Linked DNA regions of Stegostoma tigrinum. The protein of the gene in region 2 purifies or fractionates together with the protein of the main gene of each other region. This does not show direct contact. Links are inferred from orthologs where the notes say so. Each region holds a gene or a part of one and is shown on either strand. Other genes may lie near its edges.

Region 1 (11,844 bases), about 3.6 Mb from region 2:
CAAGTAAGTCACCTCCTGATCACCCATCATCTTTCAAGGTACAAATCAGGAGTGTGATGGAATACTCCCTACTTGCTTACATGGTTGCAGTTCCAACATCACTCGAGAAAACTTACCACCACCCAGGACAAAGCAGTCCCCTTGACTGGCACCACATTCACAAACATCCAATCCCTCCACCATAGTAGCAGAACTGTGTACTGACTAACTATCTACAAGACGGACTACAGAAATTCATACGACCTTTCGACAGCATGCTCCAAACCCATGATCACTTCCAACTAGAAGGACAATGGCAGCAGATATGTGAGAACACAACCATCTGCAAGTTTCCCTCCAAGCCACTCACCACCCTGACTTGGAAATATACTGCCATTCCCTCATTGTTGCTGGGTCAAAATGCTGGCATTTCCGTAATAGCATTGTAGGTCAACTCACAGCAGATGGACTGCAGTGATTTAAGGTGGCAGCTAACTACCACCTTCAAAGGCAACCAGAGACGGGCAGCGATGCCTGCCTCCCACAAAATGAATAAATAAAAACAAAGTGCTAATATCGGCATGGACAGAAAATTGACTGGCTAACAAGAAGCAGAGTAGGAAAAAGTGGATCCTTTCAGGCTGGCTGAAAATGTGCAATTGTCAATTTTAGCAGAGAAAATAAAAATCTTCTTAATGGCAAGATGTTGCCAAGCTCTGATATGCAGAGATCTGGGTGTCCTACTGCATGAATCACAGACATTTAGTATGCAAGTACAGCAAACAGTCAGGAAATCTAATAGAACGTTATGCTTTATTGCAAGAGGAACTGAATACAAGACTAGGGAGGTTATGCCTCAGTTATACAGAGCACTGGTGAGATTGCATCTGGAATACTGCGTTCAGCACAGGTCACCGTGCCTGCAAAGGATGTTAATGCACTGGAGACAGTTCAGAAAATGTTCACTCGACTAATACCTGGGGTGAGAAGCTTGCCTTATAAGGAAAGCCTGAAATGTCTGAAGACTCAAAGGTAGCTTAACATCCTAAGGGAACTCGACTGGGTGGCGTGGATGTGAAAGGATGTTTTCTTTTCTGGTCAGTGTTGTAGTTTTAAAATAAGGGTTCACCATTTAAGATAATAATTTCTGAAAACAGAATGGATGTAGAACCTTTATATATTTTCAAGGCATAGGTATATACATTCTTGATTGAAGACTTCATATTTCCAGAAGATCATAGGACCGCGCTCTCTAATGAGAGATGGTTGCTGGTAGTTTAACCTGAGGGTCATCATGCCTCAGACAAGGAATGAGGTTGAGAAGGCATGACCTTAATGGTAACTTCAGTCAGTGGGGAAGTGAACCTGTACTGCTGGCATCACACTGCATCGCCAATCAGGTATCAGTGAACTCAGCTGGCTGGACAGCAGATTCTTGATTACCAAGTGTATGAAAGATTATCATCAGGATTATGCAAGAACGTAGAAGTGCGACAGAAATCAGATCAACCACAATCTTTTTGGATGGTGGATCAGGCTTGAAGGACCTAGTGGTCTATTATTGTCCGTATGACACTTTTTCTGGTGTCTGTTTGGAAAGGAAGTTGCGACCTCAAGTATAAACCAGTGTCATTCCATCAGTCCATGCAAAAATTGACCCAAAAGATGTTTTTAAAAAAGAAAGTGAGTTGTGAGCAAAAGCAGACAGCAAGTGAAGTCTAAAATCACAAATGTAGGAAGAAGCAAGGCAAGTCAGCCGGCTACAACTTCAAGAGTGAATGTAGTTAAGTATATTTGAAGAGTGCTAATCTTTTAAACGTCTGAGCAATTAGAACTAAAATTAAAAGCCTAATAGCTTCTAATATACACTCTTGTTAATTTTAAATCAAGATATAATAATGATTAAATTACTTTCAGTGATCTAATTCATCTGCTCAATCTTCAAGTCAATTGTTCCTTCATTCTCTATGTAAAGTTTGAACTTTGAAGTGATGCAAGCATTTCCAAACAATGGAGAATAGCACCCTGCCCTTTACTGATATCTACATAGTTGATTAAAAGGTGTTCACACAATCAGAACCTGGGAACTTTCTGGGGGAATGATAGTGTCCCCACCTCCAGGCTAGAAGGTCTGGTGGTCTTGACAGATTGATCATAAACTCACTGAGCAGCAAATTTATATTAGATTCCCTACAATGTGGAAACAGGCCCTTCAGCCCAACAAGTCAACACCGCCCCTTGCAGCATCCCACCCAGACCCATTCCCCTATAACCTACACACACCCCTGAACACTATGGGCAATTTAGCATGGCCAATCCACCCAGCCTGCACATCTTTGGACTGAGGGAGGAAACTGGAGTGCCCGGAGGAAACCCACGCAGACATGGGGAGATATATCTTAAAGGTATCCTCTTTGTTTATATCTGTTCACACCCTGCTACCCCCCTCCAATTCAAAATACAGTTTAAACTGGCCAAAACTTCTGCACACAAAAGACCACTAAGTGGTAAGAGGTTGGGACTTTTATCCCCTTGGAGTGTAGTATGTTGGGGGATGACTTAGAGGTTTACAAAATCGCAAGGGCATAGATAAGGTTAATAGCCTTTTCGCTAGGGTAAGGGAGTCTAAAACTAGAGGCATATTTTTAAAGGTAAGAGTGGAAAGATTTAAAAGGGGCCCAAGGAGCAACTTTTTCCATTCAGGGTAGCTCTTACGTGGAACGAACAGGTGCTCGTCAGAGTTAAAATGACAGGATATATCGGATGAAAACGTGGATGACAAGATGGTGTCAGAGGAGGGGTTCAGACTCCTGGGGCATTGGGACTCGTTCTGGGGGAGGCGGTACCTGTTCAAATTGGACGGGTTACACCTGGGCAGGACTGGGGACTGATGTCATAATACATATTAATGATTTGCATGAGGGAACAAAATGTAACATCTCCAAGTTTGCAAACGATACCAAGTTAGGTGGAAGGGTGAACTCTGATGAGGATGCAGAGATCCTTCAGCATGATGTCAATAGATTGGATGAGTGTGCAAATCAATGGTCGATGCAGTATAATTTGAATACTTGTGAGGTTATTCACTTTGGAAGCAAAAACAAGAAGGCAGAATACTACCCGAATGGCTGTAAATTGGGAGAGGGGAGTGCGCAGTGGGACCTGGGCATCCTTGTGCAACAGTTGCTGAAGATAAGCATAAAAAGTGCAGTAGGTGGTACAGAAGGCAAGTGGTACGTTGGCCTTCATTCCGAGACATTTCAAGTACAGGACCTGGGATGTATTGTTTCAGTTATACAGGGCCTTGGTAAGATCATACCTAAAATATTGTGCACAGTTTTGGTCTCCTTTTTGAGGAAGAATGCTCTCGCTCTCAAGGAAGTGCACAGAAGGTTTACCAGGCTGATTCCAGGGATGGCAGGACTGACGTTTTGAGGAGAGACTGACAAGGTTTGAATTGTTTTCGCTGGAGTTCAGACGAAATGGGAGGGGGGGTGGTGGTCTCAGAGACTTATAAAAATTCTAACAGGATTAGACAGGGTACATGCAGAGTGGATGCCCCTGATGGTGGGTGAGTCCAGAACCAGGGGTTGCAGTCTAAGGATTCAGGGAAGACCATTTAAGACAGAGACAAGGAAACATTTCTTCACTCAAACAGTGGTGAGCCTGTGAAATTCATTATCACAGGAAGTAGTTGAGATCAAAATACTGAATGTATTCAAGAGGCAGCTAGCTTTAGCACTTGGAGTGAACGGGATCAAAGGTTATGAGCAGAAAGCAGGATTAGACTTCTGAGTTGGACAATCAGCCATGATCGTAATGAATGGTGGAGCAGGCTCAAAGGGCCAAATGGCCTTCTTATACTCCTATCTTCTATGTTCCTATGGCCTGCCAGAGGAAGTGGTGGATGCAGGTAGTTATAATATTTTAAAATACATTTGGACAGGTAAATGAACATGAAAGGTTTAAAAAGGATATATGCCAAATGCAGCTAAGTAGAACGAGTTTAGTTTGGGAAACGTGGTTGGAATGGACAAGTTGGTCCAAAGTTGTTCAACATGAATGCCCTACAAGGAATGAAGTCTCCTAGCCTTTGCCAGTCAGGCCCATGTAATATGCACACCAGTGGCAATGTAATACAGTCTTAATTACCCTCCAAATTAAACTAACAAGCCATTCAGTTCAAGGGCAATTAGAAATGGGCAATAAGTTCTGGGTTTGCCAGCAACATCCACATCGCAAAGAATAAGCAAGCAGGTACAGCGAAGCATCGATTTGATCCTGAATAACAATATTTTGAAAGATAATAAAGTGTGAAGCTGGATGAACACAGCAGGCCAAGCAGCATCTCGGGAGCACAAAAGCTGACGTTTCGGGCCTAGACGCTTCATCAGAGAGGGGGATGGGGTGAGGGTTCTGGAATAAATAGGGAGACGGACCAAAGATGGAGAGAAAAGAAGATAGCTGGAGAGGAGAGTATAGGTGGGGAGGTAGGGAGGGGATAGGTCAGTCCAGGGAAGACGGACAGGTCAAGGAGGTGGGATGAGGTTAGTAGGTAGGAAATGGAGGTGCAGCTTAAGGTGGGAGGAAGGGATGGGTGAGAGGAAGAACACGTTAGGTAGGCAGAGACAGACTGGGCTGGTTGTGTGATGCAGTGGAGGGAGGGGAAGAACTGGGCTGGTTTTGGGATGCAGTGGAGGAAGGGGAGATTTTGAAGCTTGTGAAGTCCACATTGATACCATTGGGCTGCAGGGTTCCCAAGCGGAATATGAGTTGCTGTTCCTGCAACCTTCGGGTGGCATCATTGTGGCACTGCAGGAGGCCCATGATGGACATGTCATCTAAAGAATGGGAGGGAGAGTGGAATCTGCAGTTCCCATTATCTCTGATACATATTTTGAAAGATGTCTGGTTTACAGCAAGTTAAAGAAATAGACTTTGCTTAATAGCGGTGAGCCGAAAAGATAAAGGTGCATTTAAAAAACTGAGCTCAGTGAGGCACAGGAAGTACCTCCCCATACACTTGTTATCCAGCAGCCTTAGAGAATAACGTCCAAAAACACCGAAAACAAAGCAAAGTGAATTATACTTAAACACAAAAAAGTAGAACTTTTTAAAAAATATCTCTTCGGTAAGGAGAAAAAAGCTATGTTGAGACCGTTTGCTTTCAATATTTATTTTAAAATCCGTAGACGTTCAAAAATGTTAACTAGAACTCGGAGAAAATACCATATAGATGACGAGCGCATTTAGTTCTGAACCTGAAACTGGAGAGAAAAATCAAGTTTTTAAAAAAACTTTACTGGGGTCTTGCAGTTTTCCGAGATAAAACTATCAAAATCCTGTCACGTTAACGCAAATAGTGGGGTACGGGGAGATTAAAACGTCTCAAATGTCTTTGCGCTCAAAAGCAGAACATTTCGGGTTTTTTTTACGCGTTATTTTGTTTCCACCCACCATTTCAGAAGAAACTTGACAGGAGGAAACACATCGCCCGCCCTCTCAAAACGTCAAATAAAACAAGTTTACGAAGAAAAACAATAATTTTTACTTCCAAACTCTCATCAAGCATACAGAAAACATTACCTTAGCTGAAATGTTTAAATCTTTTCTTCAAAATAAACTCTTCTCCTACGATCTAAAAAGACAGTTTTTTTTTGAAATACAAATGTTCTCGTTTTCCGCCGCTACAGCTCACGAGCTCCACAAAGGCGCCAAGACCACTCATTGGCCCAGAGCGAAGAGTTTGCACGGCCTTGCCGCTCGCGGATTGGCTGAACTCGGCCACTCGAGATCGCGTTCCATCATAACGGCCGTTACAAAATGGTGGAGTTTACAGAAGCGGGTGTAGTGTTGTTGGCGGTTCCGGGCCGAAATGACAAGCGTCAATCGAAAGTTATGCCGTTTCCTCCGTCTTACACTTTCGGAGAGAGGAAAAAAAAGTTCAGATAAAACTCCTCTTGTGGGAAGAAAATTGTGACAGCCATTAAACGCACATCATCTCAGGTTCTGCAATCCCGACAGATGCTGGAAATCCGAGATAAAAACAGAAAATGCTGGTTCGTAGGCAGCAGATCACATCTAAAGACATAAAACAAAACTGGAGTTAACATTCAGGTGAATGGTCACATTCATCAGCAATGGAAATGGTTACAAGGGAAACATTGCAAACTTTTAAGGAAGTGAAAAATAGGGTTGAGTGAAATTAAGCGGCAAGTGTTATGTAAGGGCTTTAAGTTGTACAATAATCTCTAACATAGTGTTAACAGCAGTTGCACTTTCCCCTGCCACCTTTCCAGAGCTCACTCTGATTTTATTTCCCCTTCCCATACCAACACCTTCCACAAAATCACAGGATGCCTCCTTGACTTTTACTGCGGGGAACCTTTGGACTGTTCAGGCACCAAACACTTTAGGCTGGGATCTTTATTTGTATTTCTTTCAATTTACTATATATGGAAGAGGGTGATCAATTATGGCCAGCATTGACAGGTTGGACTAACGGGTATGTTTCTGTGTTGCATAATTATGATTCAAAGTTTGCATGTGATAAGTAAATTGGTCAGTGGGTAAATATTGAGGATAGCCTTAGATTAGACCACAACACTGTAAAAAGTAGGAACAAGAGCAAGTTGTTCAGTCCCTTAAGTCTACTCTGACGTTCAGTTGGATCATGCCTGATCCAATATTCCTGTATATACCGTGTGATTCCCTACTGATCATCAGTTCATTTATTTCAGGCTTAAATATTTACAAGGATCCCAGCCCACGGCTCTTTGTGACAAGGAGTTCATGACTCACCACACTGACAGAAGAAATTCGTATTTATGTCAGTCTTAAATTGGTGCCTGTTTATCCTGAAATTATGCCCTCTGGTCCTAAACTCTCCCTTGAGGGAAACATCCTCTCAGCATTAAAAATAATAGGAACTACAGATGCTGGAGAATCCGTGATAACAAAGTGTGTGTAAAGCTGGACGAACACAGCAGGCCCGAAACGTCAGTTTTTGTGCTCCTATGATGCTGCTTGGCCTGCTGTGTTCATCCAGCTCTACACTTTGTTATCCTCTCAGCATTTATCTTTTCAAGCCTTTCAAGAGTCTTATACATCTCAATGAGATTGCCTGTCATCCTTCTACTCTTCAAAGAGTAGAGTCCAAATCTGTTCAGCCTTTGCTCATAAGACAATCCCTCCATACCAAGGATGGTCTTAGTCAATCTTCTATGACACTTAAAAAAGGAACTCAAAACTGCTCACTAGCCCAGAAGTGGTCTTATCAGCACCTTGTACAGTTGCAGTAAGATTTCCCTACTCTTATACCTAAATCCCCATGAAATAAGGGCCAACATGCCAGCCTTCTTGTGTTTGTTTACTTTAGAGTACGGTATGAATTTGTTCTCAATACTAGCTGCATTCAAAAGCACAGCCTTTCCTTTTGTCTTTTTGTTATCCTTGAAATATCTAAGTCTTGATTGTTGTGATACTCTTTTTTTTCTTCTTTCTGTCCTTTCCTACCACTCTGTAACTCTCATTTCCCCCATTACTGCCGGGTCACCAGACATACAATCCCAACCTAGTCAATCTCCCTTCATACGTCAGTCCTGCCATTGCTGGAATCAACCTGGTAAACCTTTACTGCACTCCCTCGAGAGCAAGAGCATCCTTCCTCAGAAAAGGAGATCAAAACTGCACACAACACTCCAGGTGTGGTCTCACCAAGGCCCTCTACAACTGCAACAACACAGCCCAGCTCCTGTACTTGAAAGCCCTTGCTATGAAGGCCAACATACAATTTGTTTTCTTTACTGCCTGCCGCACCTTCATGCTTACCTTCAGCAACTGCTGCACAAAGATGCCCAGGCCCCACTGCACACTCCCCTCTCTCAATTTACAGCCTTTCAGGTAGTAATCTGCCTTCTTGTTTTTGCTTCCAACGTGAATAACCTCACATGTATACAAATGATACAGTATCTACCATTGATTTGCCCACTCACCCAATCTATTGAGATCATGCTGAAGTTTCTCTGCATCCTCATCAGAGTTCACCCTTCCACCCAACTTGGTATCATCTGCAATCTTGGAGATGTTGTATTTTATTTCCCCATCCAAATCATTAATACATATTGCGAATAGCTGGGCTCCCAGCCCCGATCCCTGTGGCACCCCACTAGTTACTGCCCATCACAGTTGATTTGTCCCTCTCAGAATTTTCCCTCCTTACTGGGATGTATTTTTGCTGAGTGTCATGAGTTACCCCCTTAAATGTCTGTCACTGTGTTCCAACAAACAATTTTCTTGAGTGAGCTGCACTTGAGAGCTTCATCGACTGTCTGCCTGCCTCTTTTCCTTCCCTGACTGCATTTCTGTAAACATGCTACCAAAATACTCCCAACTGCACAAGACCACTACTGTGCCTCCAGTTGACACTCAAGCTCCAAAACCCAGTGTTTGTGCTAATGTAACTGGTGGCACTACCTGCAGATTTGGTCATCCAGCTTGCAAGGAGTATTCTAAGATTTCCCACGTACAATGGGCCAAGCAACCCAGGGGCCCAAGCTCCCAGCATTAGTTTAGTTGCTTTAGTTGAAATAATCTCTTACCCTAAATTTAAGATAAGTAGAAAATTAATTTTAAAAATGAACTGAAGATTCTGGAGATCTGAAACAAACAAAAACAGAATTTGCCAGAGAAACTCAGCAGTCAGGCAGGCATCTGTGACAGGTTGCTGAAACATTAATGCTGTCAGAACTGCTGACTTTCTCCAGAAATTTATTTCTTTTTGTTTCAGAATGTTAATTAAATTTGTTAATAAGTAATAAGTAGAACTCTTATGTTAATACAGGTTTAATGTGGACAAGAATAGCTATCCACTGCCCACCAATCAGTTCACTGCTTTGCTTCATGTGACTTGCATCAGCCTTTTTGAATTCTGGCAGGGTTGCTGCTGCTTCAATTGAATTCAGTCTGGGTCTCATCCCCCAGAGCTTTTACTGACAGATTTGTGGGGAGAGTTCACACACAGGCTTACTACTCTGCTGCTGCACTGACTCTTACTGTCAGAGTCGTAGACTAGGTATCTGTATTTTGGTTCTTGTAAACCTACAATTCTACAGCACTGGACAGGGTAAACTCAGGAAGTATGTACGACTCAACAGTCCAGAATCAGGGGTCACAGTCTGAGGGACCAGGGAAGCCAATGCTGAAATGAGGTGTGGTGAATTTGTGGAAATTCTCTCCCACAAAAAGTGGTTGAGACCAAAACGTCGAATGTTTTCAAGGTAACAAGGTGTGAAGCTTGATGAACAGGCAGACCAAGCAGCAGGCCTAGGCCCGAAACATCAAGCTTTCCTGCTCCTATGATGCTGCTTGGCCTGCTGTGTTCATCTAGCTCTACACCTTGTTATCTCAGATTCTCCAGCATCTACAGTTTCTACTGTCTCTGAAACAATGTTTTCAAGGTGTTAGATATTGCTTTTATGGATAAAGGGATCAAAGAGTTTGTGGAGAAAGCAGGAACTAGGTATTGAACTGGATGATCAGCTAGCAGTTTGAAGGGCTGTATGACTTAATCCTCTTATTTTCTATGTTCCTGTGTTCTGAATCTCACTCAAACCCATTCTTGTACTTCTGGTGTAAGATGGCGGCAGAGTAACAGGGCTGCGTTCAGGGTCTTGCCTAGGGCCCATTTGCTTTGCTTGTTTGCTTTATTCTTGCTTCTGCTGTTTTCTTTCTCTTTATTATCCTTTCCTTTTGGTCTTTTATTTCTTCTTTTCTGTGGTGGATTGGTCAGCAGCTCTGACAAAGACTGAGAGTGGGCTGCATGCAGAATTGTGGACATCGCTTCTCCTTGCAATAGGAGGCGGCAGCAACAGGGACATTCTTCTGCCAATAGGAAGAAGTGACAGTGATTGCAGTATCCTGCCATTCAGGAAGCTTATGGTAACAGCAACAAGGTTGCTCCCCCAGCGTTGGAGCCAGTGGCACCAGCAGCGACGTTGTTCCCCCAGCGTTCGGGGAGCAGTGGCAGCAAAGTTTCAGTGAGAGGTGATGGCTGCACTGATGGCAGCAGACTCTTCAAGATGGTGGCACCAGCAAGGTGACATCTGCAGCCAAAGCGGGACTTGTGGCTTGGCAGCAGCCTGGCCTGACAGTGGAACCAGGGACTCATGGTTGCAGGGCGAGTGTGGGTTCAGCAGCATCAGCATAGTGGGTATAGTGACAAAGAGTTGGCGCCTGAAGTGTGACAATTGATATGTCAGTGGTTCCGGTGCAGGGTGCGGTGAGGCAGCGGATGTCTCCCTTGAGACCAGTTACCAGTGTGGATTGGGTCAAAAAGACCGATGTTCTGAACCTTTCACTTTATTTTTCTAATTTATACCAGTGACTTGTAATGTTGGGCAATTTATTTCTTTATTTTTCTAATTTTTTTTAGTTTTCTAAGAATTTTAACTTAAAGTATCTCTACCTAGGTATCTTGTACCTGAGATAGTGCTTTAATGCGGTGAGTGTGAATTTTTCACCGTATTCATTTGAGTACATGTGATAATGAAACTAATTCAATTCAGTTCAATCCTGCCAGTACGATACAGTGGTGCCAAGCTGCTGCAGATTCCTTTCGATCTGCTTCATGGTGATTCTGGCTGCTGCATACTTCCCCACTCCCAGCCTCTCTAATTGCCCAGTATGGTTGAGATACACCCAATGTCTGTGGCTGCACGATGCATGTGCAAACTGACCTTAGCACTGTGTTACAGGAAGCCATTCAAGTGGGAAGTGAAACAAGAAATATTGTGATAGTAGATGACAGTTTAATGAGGGGAAATGACTCAGTTCTTTGCGCGAAGAACGTGAGTCCAAAGAACTATGTTGCCTGCCAGGTGCCAAAGATGATGGGCTAGAGAGGAACTTGCATTGAGAGATAGAGGATCCAGTTATCATGCTCAATGTAGGTACCATTGACATAGATAAAACAAAAGAGGGTCCTATATAGAGAGTACGGGGTTTGGGGTACTATGTTGAAAATGGGAACTTCAAATATAGTCTCTGGATTATTATCTGAGCCATTTGCAAATTGGCATAGGGCACATAAAATTAAGATGAATACATGGCTCAGAAACTGGTGTCAGAGAAGTGGCCACTGGTATCAGTTTTGGGGAAAGTGTGTGTTATATCTTTGGGACATTCGACACCTAAACTGTGCTGGACTAGTATTCCTACAAATTATATAGCCAGGGAAGTTGGGAGGAATTTCAGTTAAATAGTAGAGACAAGGCATCACATTTGTCAAGATGCAGCATGGCTATTAGATAAGCTGCCAGTGCCTAAAGTCGATAAGGCACTGGACTCAATGAGATGAATCTAAGGATATTGAAGAAACTGATAGTGTTAATTTGCAGAAGCACTGGCAATTATCTTTCAGTCTTGACTGGATTCAGGGTGGTGCCAGATGTTGGAGATTTGCAAACTTAATGCTCTTATTCAAAAGAAATGTGAAGAATGGCCCAGCAATTACCGAACAATTGGTTTTACACTGGTGATCACTGAACCTCTAGAAACAATTATGGAGGAAAATGGTGGGTTGATACAAAAGTGCCAATTACTGACAATTCCCACCCCATCAGTCTACTCTTGATCGTCAGTGAACTGATGGAAGGTGTCATCAACAGTGTTATCAAGCAATTTTTTGCATTACCTGCAAGTTCCCCTCCAAGTCATCAACATCTTGACTTGGAAATTGGATGACTAAAGCAGCATTTGAACCAACAGTGCATATCAATGCTATTATTAGTTTACAAAAGCAAAGACGGAATTTTACAAATGCTTACCAAAACACCAGGAGATCTTGAAATGAGGGTGGAACATACT
Region 2 (12,095 bases):
ATAACTGTTTCAACAATGAATACTAGACCTTCATGAAATCCTTTGATGGAACGTATTACAAGAATGTAAGACTGTACGCTTTGCTTGAATTCTAAAGTAACCGGTCAATGCAAACAGCTTCTGCAGATTGCTCAAGACTTCTACCTATTTCTTACAACTGGGATTCTTTCCTTAGAGCTTTCAAAAAGTTGATAACTGGAGGATAACGAGACAGAACAAAAAAAAGATTCCCAGTCCGATAGCTTCTGAAGCAATACTGCCTCCATCCTGTCTGGTCACAGCCAATTTACTCTTTGTTTTCTCTTTATTTTTTAATCTTGTCTGCAGTTAGCAGGCCAAAACCAGTTCTCCCTTGACCAATTCAACACTCAACTCACTGCCAGTCCATAAGCATAAGCATATGGACGTATCTGGAATAGTGTAGGTTAGATGGGCTTGAGATCAGTATGACAGGTCGGCACAACATCGAGGGCCAAAGGGCCTGTACTGTGCTGTAATGTTCTATAACACTTTGATGTGAGTTTGTCTATAGTGTTCTTAGAGCAGTACCTAACCTGCATTATTTTTCTAGACCAATTTCCAATAGAAAACATCAGTCTTTTGTTCTTTCCCTTTTTTTAAACAAAGTAAGCTGAAGTTCAAAGTTCAATTCTCAACTGTAACTCAGTTCCAAGCCAAACGTGAGAAAAAAAATTTTAAATGGTGATGGTGTCAACAGCATAAACGGAATCAAGAAATAGGAGATTGGAAGGAATCTGGGGTTGCAGAGCTGCTAAGTCAAGATTTTATTAAAATGGTGGAAGGGGTTGCACAGCTCATATGGCCTACTCCTCTTAGTTTCTACAGGAGCAGTTATCATTATGGACCTTGACTCTCATGCTGCCCTCATACAGGGCAGTTATAGATTGGTTCAAAGCAGTTCCTCTGGATAGCTTTCAAGAGAAGAAATTAGAGCTTATTCCCAATTTTAGACCAAGGATACAAAGACCAACTATCATTGACCAAATCAGGCACTCTGACCCTTTCTGCTTATTTGCCAATGTTAGCTCAGTTTGCAATGCAGTAGTGTCCTCAGTCTGGGCTCAATTCTTGGACCAAAGGTTACCACAAAGGACTCTGCTTCTCAATCTCTCCCTATGCTTAGGCTTGGTAACTCTCAGGTTAACCACCAGTTGTCTCTCTCGAATGAGAAAGCAGCCCTATTTACCAATAAGACAAGGGTGACTTTACCTTTATTGAGCAATGTAATTCCTAACTAATTTACTGACAGCCTAGTCACTATTATCTTCCACTTAAAACCAATTACCTCACATTTTCTGATCCAATTTGGCAATTTGATATGTTACCAAATCCTTACCTCTAACCTAATGTCTAGTATCATGATTAATATCTCCTTCCAATGGGAAGGGTCACCCAGACAGGCCCAATTGAGATAAAAACTTACAACTGTACTATTTTTCCTCCAAATTGAAATAATAGGCTATTCAAGTCCAGTCCTTATAATTTAAAAAGTATGTACCACCTAAATATTGCAGAAAGTGGCACCTACTATTAAAAAGGTTTATACATTAATTAATGAAATCCCTTGATTGTTATAGGTGCTTGAAACCAGATATAGTCATCATGGTTATAACTCGGCTGCTCAGTTGATGTAAAGTTCACTGTATCACATGCCAGGTTAATAACCAGCTTCCTGGTGCGGTTTGGAATTCTGTAGTTAAGTTTGGGTCGAAACCACTGAACTCCACAATCCCTGTGTCCTTGGACAAGTAGCACAGTGTTCATCAAAGGAATGGATTTCAATTCGTTAAAGATGTCCTTGACAAAGAGAGTGTGGAAAAGTTTTCGGATACAAGAGACTGTTTTCAAGCTCTCCTCAGTGCTGCCAAAGACAATCCGCTCCATGTTGATCTCATACATTTCCTTTGGATTAACAATACTACCACCCAACAGAATATGCACACAAGGAACCAGTGTCAGCATGAACATTGCCTCCAAATTCTGGAAAATCTCATTGAGCTCAGACAGTACCCTCTGAAATTTCTTGCAATTATTCTGTTCATTTCTTCTTGAATGTGGCAATGTGGAACTGTCTGCCTAGGAGAGTAAAAACAATGTGATAATTCAATATACAAGCCTGTATCATGGGGAATCTTTATCCCCACTTTCCAAACTCAGCAGAATGACATTTCTCTAACGGTTAATAGCTGGGAATGTCATGACACTGCTGTTTGTTACATTAGTTTTCAGGTGCAGTAAGTAATGAAGAAAGCAAATAAAATGTGATGGTTTATTGTGAGTGGAGTTGAATACAAAAGTAATGAGGTTACGCTTCAGTTAAACAGGGTATTGGTGAGACCACATCTGGAATACTGCGTACATGTTTGGTCACTGTACTAAGGGAAGGATGCTAACACACTGGAAGTAGATCTCAGAAGGTTTACTAGGCTAATACCTGAAATAAGCCTTTGAGGCCAGGCTATGCCAAAATCCTCTGGAGTTTGAAAGAGTCAATTAACTGAAACATACTAGATCCTGAGGGGACTTGATTGGGTGGGTATTGAAAGGATGTTTCCTCTTGTGGCAAATGGGACCTGATTTATACTGGACATCTGGTCGGCATGGACAAGTTGACTGAAGGGTCTGTTTCCATGCTGCATATCTTTATGAATCTAGAACTAAGAATGAAACTTTAAAATAAGGAGTCATCCATTTAAAACAAATCAGAAAACCATTTGAAGGGTCTAGGCCTGAAACGTCAGCTTTTGTGCTCCTGAGATGCTGTTTGGCCTGCTGTGTTCATCCAGCTCCAGACTTTGTTATCCAAGAACTGAATGTCTTTGGAATTCCCTTCCTAAAAAGGCAGTGGATGCAGAATCTTAATTTTTTAAGGCAAAGATACATAGTACAGTATTGTTATACCAGATATATTGATATACTAGAACATATTGATATACATAGAACAAGGAGCTTTGACCCACAATATTGGGCCAAATGTGATGCCAATTCCTTCTGTTTGCCCTTGGTCCAATCCCACTATTCCTTGTACATTTATGTGCTTTTATAAAAATCTCTCAAATGGCCCTACTGTATCTGCCTCCACTGCCACTCCTGCAGGTTCCACACTCTTACCGCAATGAGAAAAAAACCTGAACCTTATAATCCTTTTGCATTTTTCTCCTCTCACCTTAAATGCATGCCCATTTTTAATAGGGATTTCAACTCTGGAAACAAGACTTTGACTGTCAAATCCTATCAATGCATCTCGTAATTTTATAGACTTCTAGCAAATCTCTCCTCAGCCTCTGCCGCTCTAGAGTCAACAACTGGAGCTTTTTCTAACTTCTCCTACAGCTCATACCCTGTACTCCAGGCAGCATGCTGGTAAACCTCTTCTGCACCCTCTCCAAAGCATCCACATCGTTCCTGTAATGTGGTGACCAGAACTGAATGCAATCTTCTAAGTCTACTGTAAGAAGAGGTGACATTTTAGGTCAGACTTTTTTTACACTGATAAATCTTTGGTTCTCTCAGGACCGTGACTTGAAAGGAATTCAGGGATTTAGACATATATATTAATCAATTAAGATCTTCGAACTGACTAAATCTTGTTTGTTTAATACAATCTCAATGGTGTGAACTTTTGATCTTTTACTTATGAATTCTGTGTCTGATACTACCTTTCTCACTAACACCTGAAGGAGGACTGAGGGTCCGAAAGCTTGTGTTTTCAAACAGACCCGCTGAACGGTAACCAAGATAACGAAATGTGGAACACAGCAGGCCAAGCAGCATCTTAGGAGCACAAAAGCTGACATTCCGGGCCTAGACTCTTCATCAGAAAAGCTTTTGTGCTCCTGAGATGCTGCCTGGCCTGCTGTGTTCATCTAGCTCCACACTTTGTTATCTCAAATTCTCCAGCATCTGCAGTTCCCATTAACTGTGAACTGTAATCAAGTCTTTCTTAAATAATGTCACAATATTAGTTACCATCCAGTCTTCTTGCACCACATCCCTGACTATTAATGGTACAAACATCCGATAAAAGGATTCTACTATTTCTTCCCTAGCTACTTAGGGCATAGCCGGAATATTGAATGCAGTTCTAGTTGCCATTGTATAGGAGGCAAGTTATTATACTAGAGAGACTGCAGAAGATTAATACATGTATTATAAATTTATATACTAGGCTTGTTTTCCTTCAAACAGAAAAGACTAAGATGTCCAAGCCTTTTCCCCCTTAGTAGGGAGAGTAATAACTGGGGATGGGGGAGGGGGGTGCTGCAGCATTAACGCAAGGGACAGGAGGTTTAAAAGGGATTTGAGGAAAGTCTTTTTCACTGAGGGTGGTGGGAATCTGGAACTCAGAGCCTGAGAGGGTGGTACACGCATGAGCCATCAAGAATATGAGACGCCATCTCTACGGGTCAAATGCTGGGAAAATGGGAATAGATGGGTGTTTGATGACACGATGGACCGAATGGCTGTCTTCTGTGCTGTCGATCTCAATTCAACGAAAGGGAGGCACAGCGGGCAGACTACTGCAGCCAATTGCCCTTCCTAGCCCCAATCCATTTGAGGATGATAGTGACGGAGCAGTTTTACTCACCAGGCCAGAGTCAGTCCGACTGAAGAAAGCCAGTTGTTGATAAGGGAGTGGTAACTGCTGCCTCTGGTACAGGACATGTTTCAGGAGCTCACACACCAGTCGGCAGCAGCTATCCGCACTCACCAGTCCAGGGAACAGAACTGGTAATTCATCACCTTCCCGCTCTGAGCGACTTTCCCTACTACCATCGACCGCCATCGTCAACTGCCCGGCCACAGCCGCCATCTTTAGCCATACTGCGCTTGCGCACACGCAACCCCACCAGCTCCCTGACCGTTATTTTCGATTTGAATCTCCCGCTCCTGTCGCGATCTTTCATACTGGCGCACCCGTGTTTAAAAATACTGAGCGTGCTGCGGTTGTGCGGGGCCATCTTTAATATTGGCAACGGCTGTGAGCGTCTTAGGGAGAGAGGAAAAGTGCATGCGTGGAGAGCGTAGTGGCAGCATGGGTCTCGGCATTTATTTTTGTGGGAGCATCAGGGGTGGGAGGCAGGATGTGGACATTTACTGTCGGATTATCAACTACTTGAAGAAATTTGGACGCGTTTTTACTGAGCATATCGGCAACCCGGATTTAGTGGAGAAAGGTGATTGAAAATGTTTGGTGGCAGAGACAGCGCGGGGAGGTTGGAGGAAGAAATTACTGAGTGAATGACCCACTTCTAGGGTGAGCTTTAGAGAAAATGTCCGTTTTAGGGTCCCCGCTTGAGAGGATTTGTTTTATTATTGTCACCTAGATATAGTAAAACGTTTTTATTTTGTGTGCAGTACAGGCAGATCATACCATACAATGTGCATTAGGATAAGAGAACAGAGTACAATGTTACAGCTGCAAAGTGCACAGAGAGCGAGACTGACGTTAAATTTAATGTTTGAGAGGCTCATTCAGAAGCTTAATGTCAGAAGTCACACCATGCCAAAAGGTTTATTTGAAATCATAAGCTTTCAGAGCACGGCTCCTTCGTCAGGTGAAGTGAAGATGAAGGAGCACTGCTTTGATAGCTCGTGATTTCAAGTAAACCTGTTGAATTATAACCATCCAGCCTCACATTTTATCATCTTTGAATTATAACCTGGTGTCTTCTGGCTTTGTCCACCCCAGGCTGAGACTGGTACCTCCACATCGGAAGTCGAATAACAGCTGAAAAGAAGCTGTTCTTGAATCTATTTATATACGTGTGCAAACTGTTATTTTCTGCCAGATGGACAAGAGTATAACTGGGGTGGGAAGGGTCTGTGATTGTGTTGGTTGCTGTCCTGAGGCAGCAGAAAGTGTAGATGGAGTCAATGAGTTAAAGGCTGATTTTTGTGATGAACTGGGAAGGGGAATTGAGGGAGAGAGAGGAGGAGGAGAAGGGGAAAAGCGAAAAAGAGAGGAAAGCTGGAGAGAGGGGGTGTCTCTCCTTTCATCAACAACCCCCACCCCCCATCACTGTCACTTTTTTGAGTTGGAACAGGCACAGTGCATGTGTGTGATCTTTCTGCAAAGAACATGGTCCAGTGTATTAATAGATGGCGGCTTCTATCACATGGAAATACACTGTGCTGACCGGCAATCCCAGTTTTGTTGTGGTTTTAATTTTCTGCCCACTCAAGATTATTTAGCAAATGTTATTTAATTTCAGTCTTAGCCGACAAATGTCGGCTGGTTGCTGCAGTGGTACCTTGTTGTGAACAGCTGGAGGAAGTTACTATGTTCAGCCTTTGTACTTACCGTCACGCTGGCACTGAAATTCATATACCACATTGATGGCTTGTGTGATTGGAAGAACCTCTTTTTGGCTTGACAACAGCATCCTGTTAGTGATGAACATCAGTTGTGTTTCTACTGCACAGTAGCAGCTTCAAACAGCTAGTTGAATCTGCTACTCAAAACTTTGACATTCTTTACACATCCTGGGAAATCTGATGTAGACTGGGAATTTTGCAGGACCACGGATGAGTTTGTATAATCTGAAATGGAAAATTATTGGACAGTCTAGCCATCATCTTACAGGATGACTATCATGCACTGTATTTCAGCATGAAGCTTACATGGTGAGCAAATGGCTTGTGCACTATTAATGAGGTTGCTGATATGGCCACCACTTGCCAGAAACATTTTGACCTCTGATAATGCAACATCTGCTTGGTATTGCACTCGAGAGTTATCTTTGTCCAGTGATCTGTCAAGTGGAACCATGCAATACAGACAAGAGTGGCGTCAACTGAGCTGCATTGTCAGGATTTGGGGCAGGAGTGTGCGTTAGGTCTTGAGAGAGACACACACACTGTAGTTGTGTAGGTGATGGCAAGGATGAACAGCACCAATGAGTGAGAAAGTGGGCGTGAGGCAGCTCGGGGTGATTTTTCCTTTAGTGAAAAGGAAATGAAGGACCACTTGTTTATAATTGGATGTGCTAGTCTTTCGGTGAAATTAGTCAGCTTGCTCGTGTATTTTAATTGATTTGAAACTTAGTATTCATTCTTTATTGGGTAATTGGCAGGCGAAGATGGAGTAAAGTCTGGAGATAAATATATCCACGATCGAGATTTGAAGTGGCTACAGGAGGCTGATGGTGAGTTTAGTTTGTAAATAAATGCTCTGTCCCTAGCCAAGCTGTCCCAGGACAGCCACAAAACTGACCAGCAAATTCCCACCCCGTCAGTTTACTCTCGATCAGCAGTAAAGTCATAGAAGTGTCAGCAACAGTACTATCAAGCAGCATTTGCTCAGTGATAACCTGTTCACTGATGCCCAGTTTGGGCTATGCCAAGACCTCTCAGCTCATTACAATCTTGGTTCAAACATGTACAAAAAACCGGTGAGGTGAGAGTGACTGTCCTTGACATCAAGGGCAGACTTGATTTTTACTGATTGGCATCAAGGAGCCCTAGAAAAACTGGAGTCAATAGGAACACAGCTCCTCAGATACTGAAGTAGTTCACCTCTTTGCGGTAATATCCTGGACAATACCCTGGTTTGGGATGGTAACTGGCAAGATGAAGTGCAGGAATTCTCTAAGGCTCCTTAGTCAGCACCTTCCAGAACCCACAAATAAAAGCAAAATTCTATGGCTTGAAACAAACACATAAATGCTGGTGAACCTAGCAAGTCTGGTAGCATCAGTGGATAGAGAAACAAAATGATGTCTGTTTCTGAAGATGAGTCATAATGGACTCAAAACGTTCAGTCAGCCAGCACTTGTACCTTCCAAACCCACAATCAATTCCATCTAGTAGAACAAAGGAAGCAGATGTACAGGAACAGCACCATCTATAAGTTCTACTCTAAGTCGCTCACCATCCTAATTTGGAAATATATCACCATTCCGTCCATGTCGCTGGGTCAAAATCTTGGAATTCCCTTCTAACTGCAGTTGATTCATGAAGGCAGTTCACTACCACCTTCTCAAGGGCAATTAAGCATGGGCAGTAAATGCTGGCCAAGCTAGAGACTTCCGTATCCCATGAATATGTTTAAAGAAAATGGTGCAGGAGATATCTCTGATAACAAGGTGTAGAGCTGGATGAACACAGCAGGCCAAGCAGCATCAGAGGAGCAGGAAGGCTAACTTTTCGGGCCTAGACCCTTCTTCAGAAATGATCCCTTCCTCCTTTGGAGCGACATGTAAGCTGTGGAGTTGGAGGAATTGGTGAAGTCACTTCTAGAGTACTGTGTGCAGTTTTGGTCTCCTTCAGTCAGGAAAGGTCTAGCTGCTGTAGAGACAGCGTGTGTAAGGTTCATCAGATCAGTGAAGAAATTACAGTTGAGTTATGAGGAGAGAATGACTCCATAAGGCCTTTATTTCAGGTGTTGAGAAGAACAACTGGTGATTTAATTGAAACATGTAGGATGGCACATTGACAGCGGTTGGCACAGCTGCCTCAGCATCAGGGATGAAGGTTTGATTCTAGCCTTGGCAAATGTCTGTGTAAAGTTTGCACATTTTATTTGTATCTGCATGGATTTCCTCCCACAGTCCAAAGATGTGCAGGTTTGGTGGATTGGCCATGCTAAATTGCCCATCGTGGTCAGAGATGTGCAGGCTAGGTGGGTTACACATAGGAAATATGGAGTTACAGGGATAGGTGGGGGTGAGATGAGCCTGGGTGGGATGCTGTTTGGAGAACTCAGCAGGCCACTCTGTAGGGATTCTGTATGACGTACCGGAGGAGCTAGGCAGCGTGAAGAATGAGAAAACTGATCGATTGCCTGGAGAATCTAGAGCTATGGCTCAAGTGGGCTACCAGCCCTGAGGCATCGATGGCACAATCCTGCCCTTGGAGATTAGATGCCAGCACCTGACCCCAGCCATTCCCAGTATGGCCTGGACAATGTTCAGACCTCGAAGTGGCATCACAAAATGGACACGTTTGGGAATTGATTACTGGGCCATAATTCCAGAATAAGAGATCAGGCATTTCAGACTGAGCTAATGAGAAATCTCTCCACTTTAAAAGGTTGTTAATCTGCAGATTGCTCTCTTCCCGAGTTGTTGATGCACAGGTATTAGGTTTATTCAGTAGAGAGGCTGATTGATTTTGAGAATGGGGGAAATTGGAAGTGGTAGAAGATCAGCCATGATCTTACTGAATTGCAGGACAGGCTCAAGGAGCGGAATGGTCTGCTCTTTATTCCGTGTTCCTTTATTTCTTAAAGGAAGACTAACGTCCCATTAGCTATTTCATTGCTCTTTGTACCCAATCCCTTGTCTTACTGATGTACAATTGGACTCCAGAATCCCCATTGCTGTTCCACAGTCCAACACCATTTCCAACATTGTTGATCCTTTTTTCTTGCATCAAAAATAGATGACCTTTAATTTCTCCATTTTAGACTCCAACGTCCGTATATTTAAAGTCTAGTGTGTAACTTGCTGCTTCCATTCACAGGGTATTGTATTTTCTAATCTGGAATCTTTTGCATACCACACTTCTCTGCTGTGTCTTCCTTTATCCGAATGTGCCTTGCTGCAGCTCCCATTCAGTGGCCCCTGTGAGGGATGATGGTTAATTTCTATGCACTGCTTTCTAATTTACATAGATGGTTAGGTTCTTCTAAATGATGAAATGTTTTTCTCCTTGACAGTAATAGTGGCAGAGGTTACCCAACCTTCCTTGGGTGTTGGTTATGAAATTGGAAGGGCTGTAGCTATGAACAAGAATATTCTGTGTCTGTTCAGATCATCATCAAAATATAGTAAGTATTTGGAACTTAAACAATGGGAAATCTTCTAACGTGTATTGAAGGACTTGGTACATGTTACTCAATATGGAAAGTAGATGGACCAGTAGTAAAGATAAATTGGCCTGCTGAACCAATCTGGTTTGCTTTACAATCTAATGATGGACACAGCTCCCTGACAAATTACATAATTTAGAACAAGTAATTACATAAATGTAGCTCCTATACTCAAAATGCACAAGACTTATAAACTCAAGATTACCTGTTTTTTAACTTGTTCTCAAGATGTAGGCAAGACGACCATTTATTGCCCATGCTAACTGTCACCAGGAAGGTAATGGTGAGCCACCTTGACCCACTGCTGACAACCTTGTTACAATCCTATTAGAAACCATTAACATTGAAAGAGGAAATCTGGATGCTCTCAATCAACCGGCAGTGTTGCACCATTTCATTGCACATCTTTTTAACAGGTCTTGCTGTACACAGGCAAATTATAAACATCATTCAGAATTTGTTTTATTTCTCCTTTGCATTCCAGTCATATCATTGTAAAACTCTATCTATTAGATTGTATTCTTCCATTAGTCATATGGTAGCACATCCCCACCCTGTTTCTTTGTAGACCTCATGATTATGGATCCCTCACTCCTTATTCAGATTGCTGGTAGATATCCAACTGCCCTCCCAAAGCTTTTCAAGCCAACTCTGCTTCTTGTTTTCAGCCACAAAGTGCTGTAAAAACGATTGAAAAATTGTTCCTTCAGCAGTAAACTGCATTCCAGGTACCCGTCCTCTATCAAAACCCAGAATTGTGAGCTTCTGTCAGCAAACACAGAGAGTCATGGTCGTACAGCATGGAAACAGGCCCTTTGGCCCAATTCTTCCATGCTGACCAGTTTTCCTAAACTGAACTAGGTCCGTTTGGCCCATATCCCTCTAAACGTTTCCTATCCACGTACCTGTCCGAATGTCTTTTAAATTTTGTAATTGTATTCGACTCTACCACTTCCTGTGGCAGCTCGCTCCATACACACACCATCCTCTGTATGAAAAAGTTGCTCTTCAGGTTTCTTTAAAATCTTTTGCCTCTCATCTTAAACCAATGCCCTCTAGTTTGGACTCTGCTACCCTGGGGAGAAATACCGTGGCTATTCACCTTCTATTTGCCCCTCATGATTTTATAAACCTCTAAACCTCAGTCTCCTGTGCTGGAGGGGAGAAGAAAGTTCCAGCCTCTCCTTATGACTCATAACACTGCCCCTCCACCCCACCACCACCACCACACCCCCACCCCCGGGCCTTGGAAACATCATTGTAAATCTTTTCTGAATTATTTTTCTTGTTCCAATTTAATAGTATCTTTCCTATTGTAAGGTGATCAGAACTAAATGCAGTACTCCAAATATGCCCTCACCAATGTCTTGTAGATCAGTTACATGACATCCTAATTCCTGTACTCAGTGCTCTGAACATTGAAGCCAAGCATGCTAAACACCTTCTTCACCACCCTGTCTACCTATGACGCTACTATCAAGGAACTACGCACCTGCACCCCTAGATCTCTCTGATTTGCAACGCTCCTCAAGGCCCTACCATTAACTTTGTAAGTCCTGCCTTTGTATCTTATCAAATTGCAACACCTCACATTTATCTGAATTAAATTCCATTCCTTGGCCCACAGGCCCAGCTAATCCAGATCCTGTTTTATTCTTGGGTAACCACCTTCGCTGCCCATGATACCACCAAAATTGGTGTAATTTGTCAACTGATTAAACATGCTCCCTATATAGAACATAGAACATTACAGCGCAGCACAGGCCCTTCGGCCTTCGGTTGCGCCAACCTGCGAAACCAATCTGAAGCCCATCTAACCTACACGGAAAGTTATCATCCATATGTTTATCCAACGACCATTTAAATGCCCTTAAACTTGGCGAGTCTACTACTGTTGCAGGCAGGGCATTCCACGCCCTTACTACTCTCTGAGTAAAGAACCTACCTCTGACACCTCTCCTATATCTATCACCCCTCAATTTAAAGCTATGTCCCCTTGTGCTCGCCATCACCATCCGAGGAAAAAGGCTCTTACTGTCCACCCTATCTCATCCTCTGATCATCTTGTATGTCTCTATTAGGTCGCCTCTTAACCTTCCTCTCTAACAAAAACAGCCTCAAGTCCCTCAGCCTTTCCTCATAAGATCTTCCGTCCATACCAGGAAACATCCTGGTAAATCTCCTCTGCACCCTTTCCAATGCTTCCACATCCTTCCTGTAATGCGGTGACCAGAACTGTACGCAATACTCCAAGTGCAGC

What was found.
Region 1: the proteins of mad2l1bp (region 2) and lbr purify together in Homo sapiens (co-immunoprecipitation; 3 studies listed by BioGRID and IntAct, counting the BioPlex papers as one, with this or other methods). This does not show direct contact. The link is inferred for Stegostoma tigrinum from reciprocal best matches to the Homo sapiens genes MAD2L1BP and LBR.

Annotation. Positions count from the first base shown.
Region 1 is NC_081357.1:3,561,679-3,573,522, forward strand, and holds the start of lbr (delta(14)-sterol reductase LBR), read right to left. Parts: upstream 5,709-11,844; 5' UTR 5,566-5,708; intron 1-5,565. UniProt on the Homo sapiens protein: Catalyzes the reduction of the C14-unsaturated bond of lanosterol, as part of the metabolic pathway leading to cholesterol biosynthesis.
Region 2 is NC_081357.1:7,175,898-7,187,992, forward strand, and holds the start of mad2l1bp (MAD2L1-binding protein), read right to left. Parts: upstream 4,836-12,095; 5' UTR 4,835-4,835; coding exon 4,610-4,834; intron 2,098-4,609; coding exon 1,573-2,097; 3' UTR 1-1,572. Other genes in the region: dnph1 (2'-deoxynucleoside 5'-phosphate N-hydrolase 1), read left to right, coding at 5,033-5,198, 7,098-7,169, 9,683-9,793. UniProt on the Homo sapiens protein: May function to silence the spindle checkpoint and allow mitosis to proceed through anaphase by binding MAD2L1 after it has become dissociated from the MAD2L1-CDC20 complex.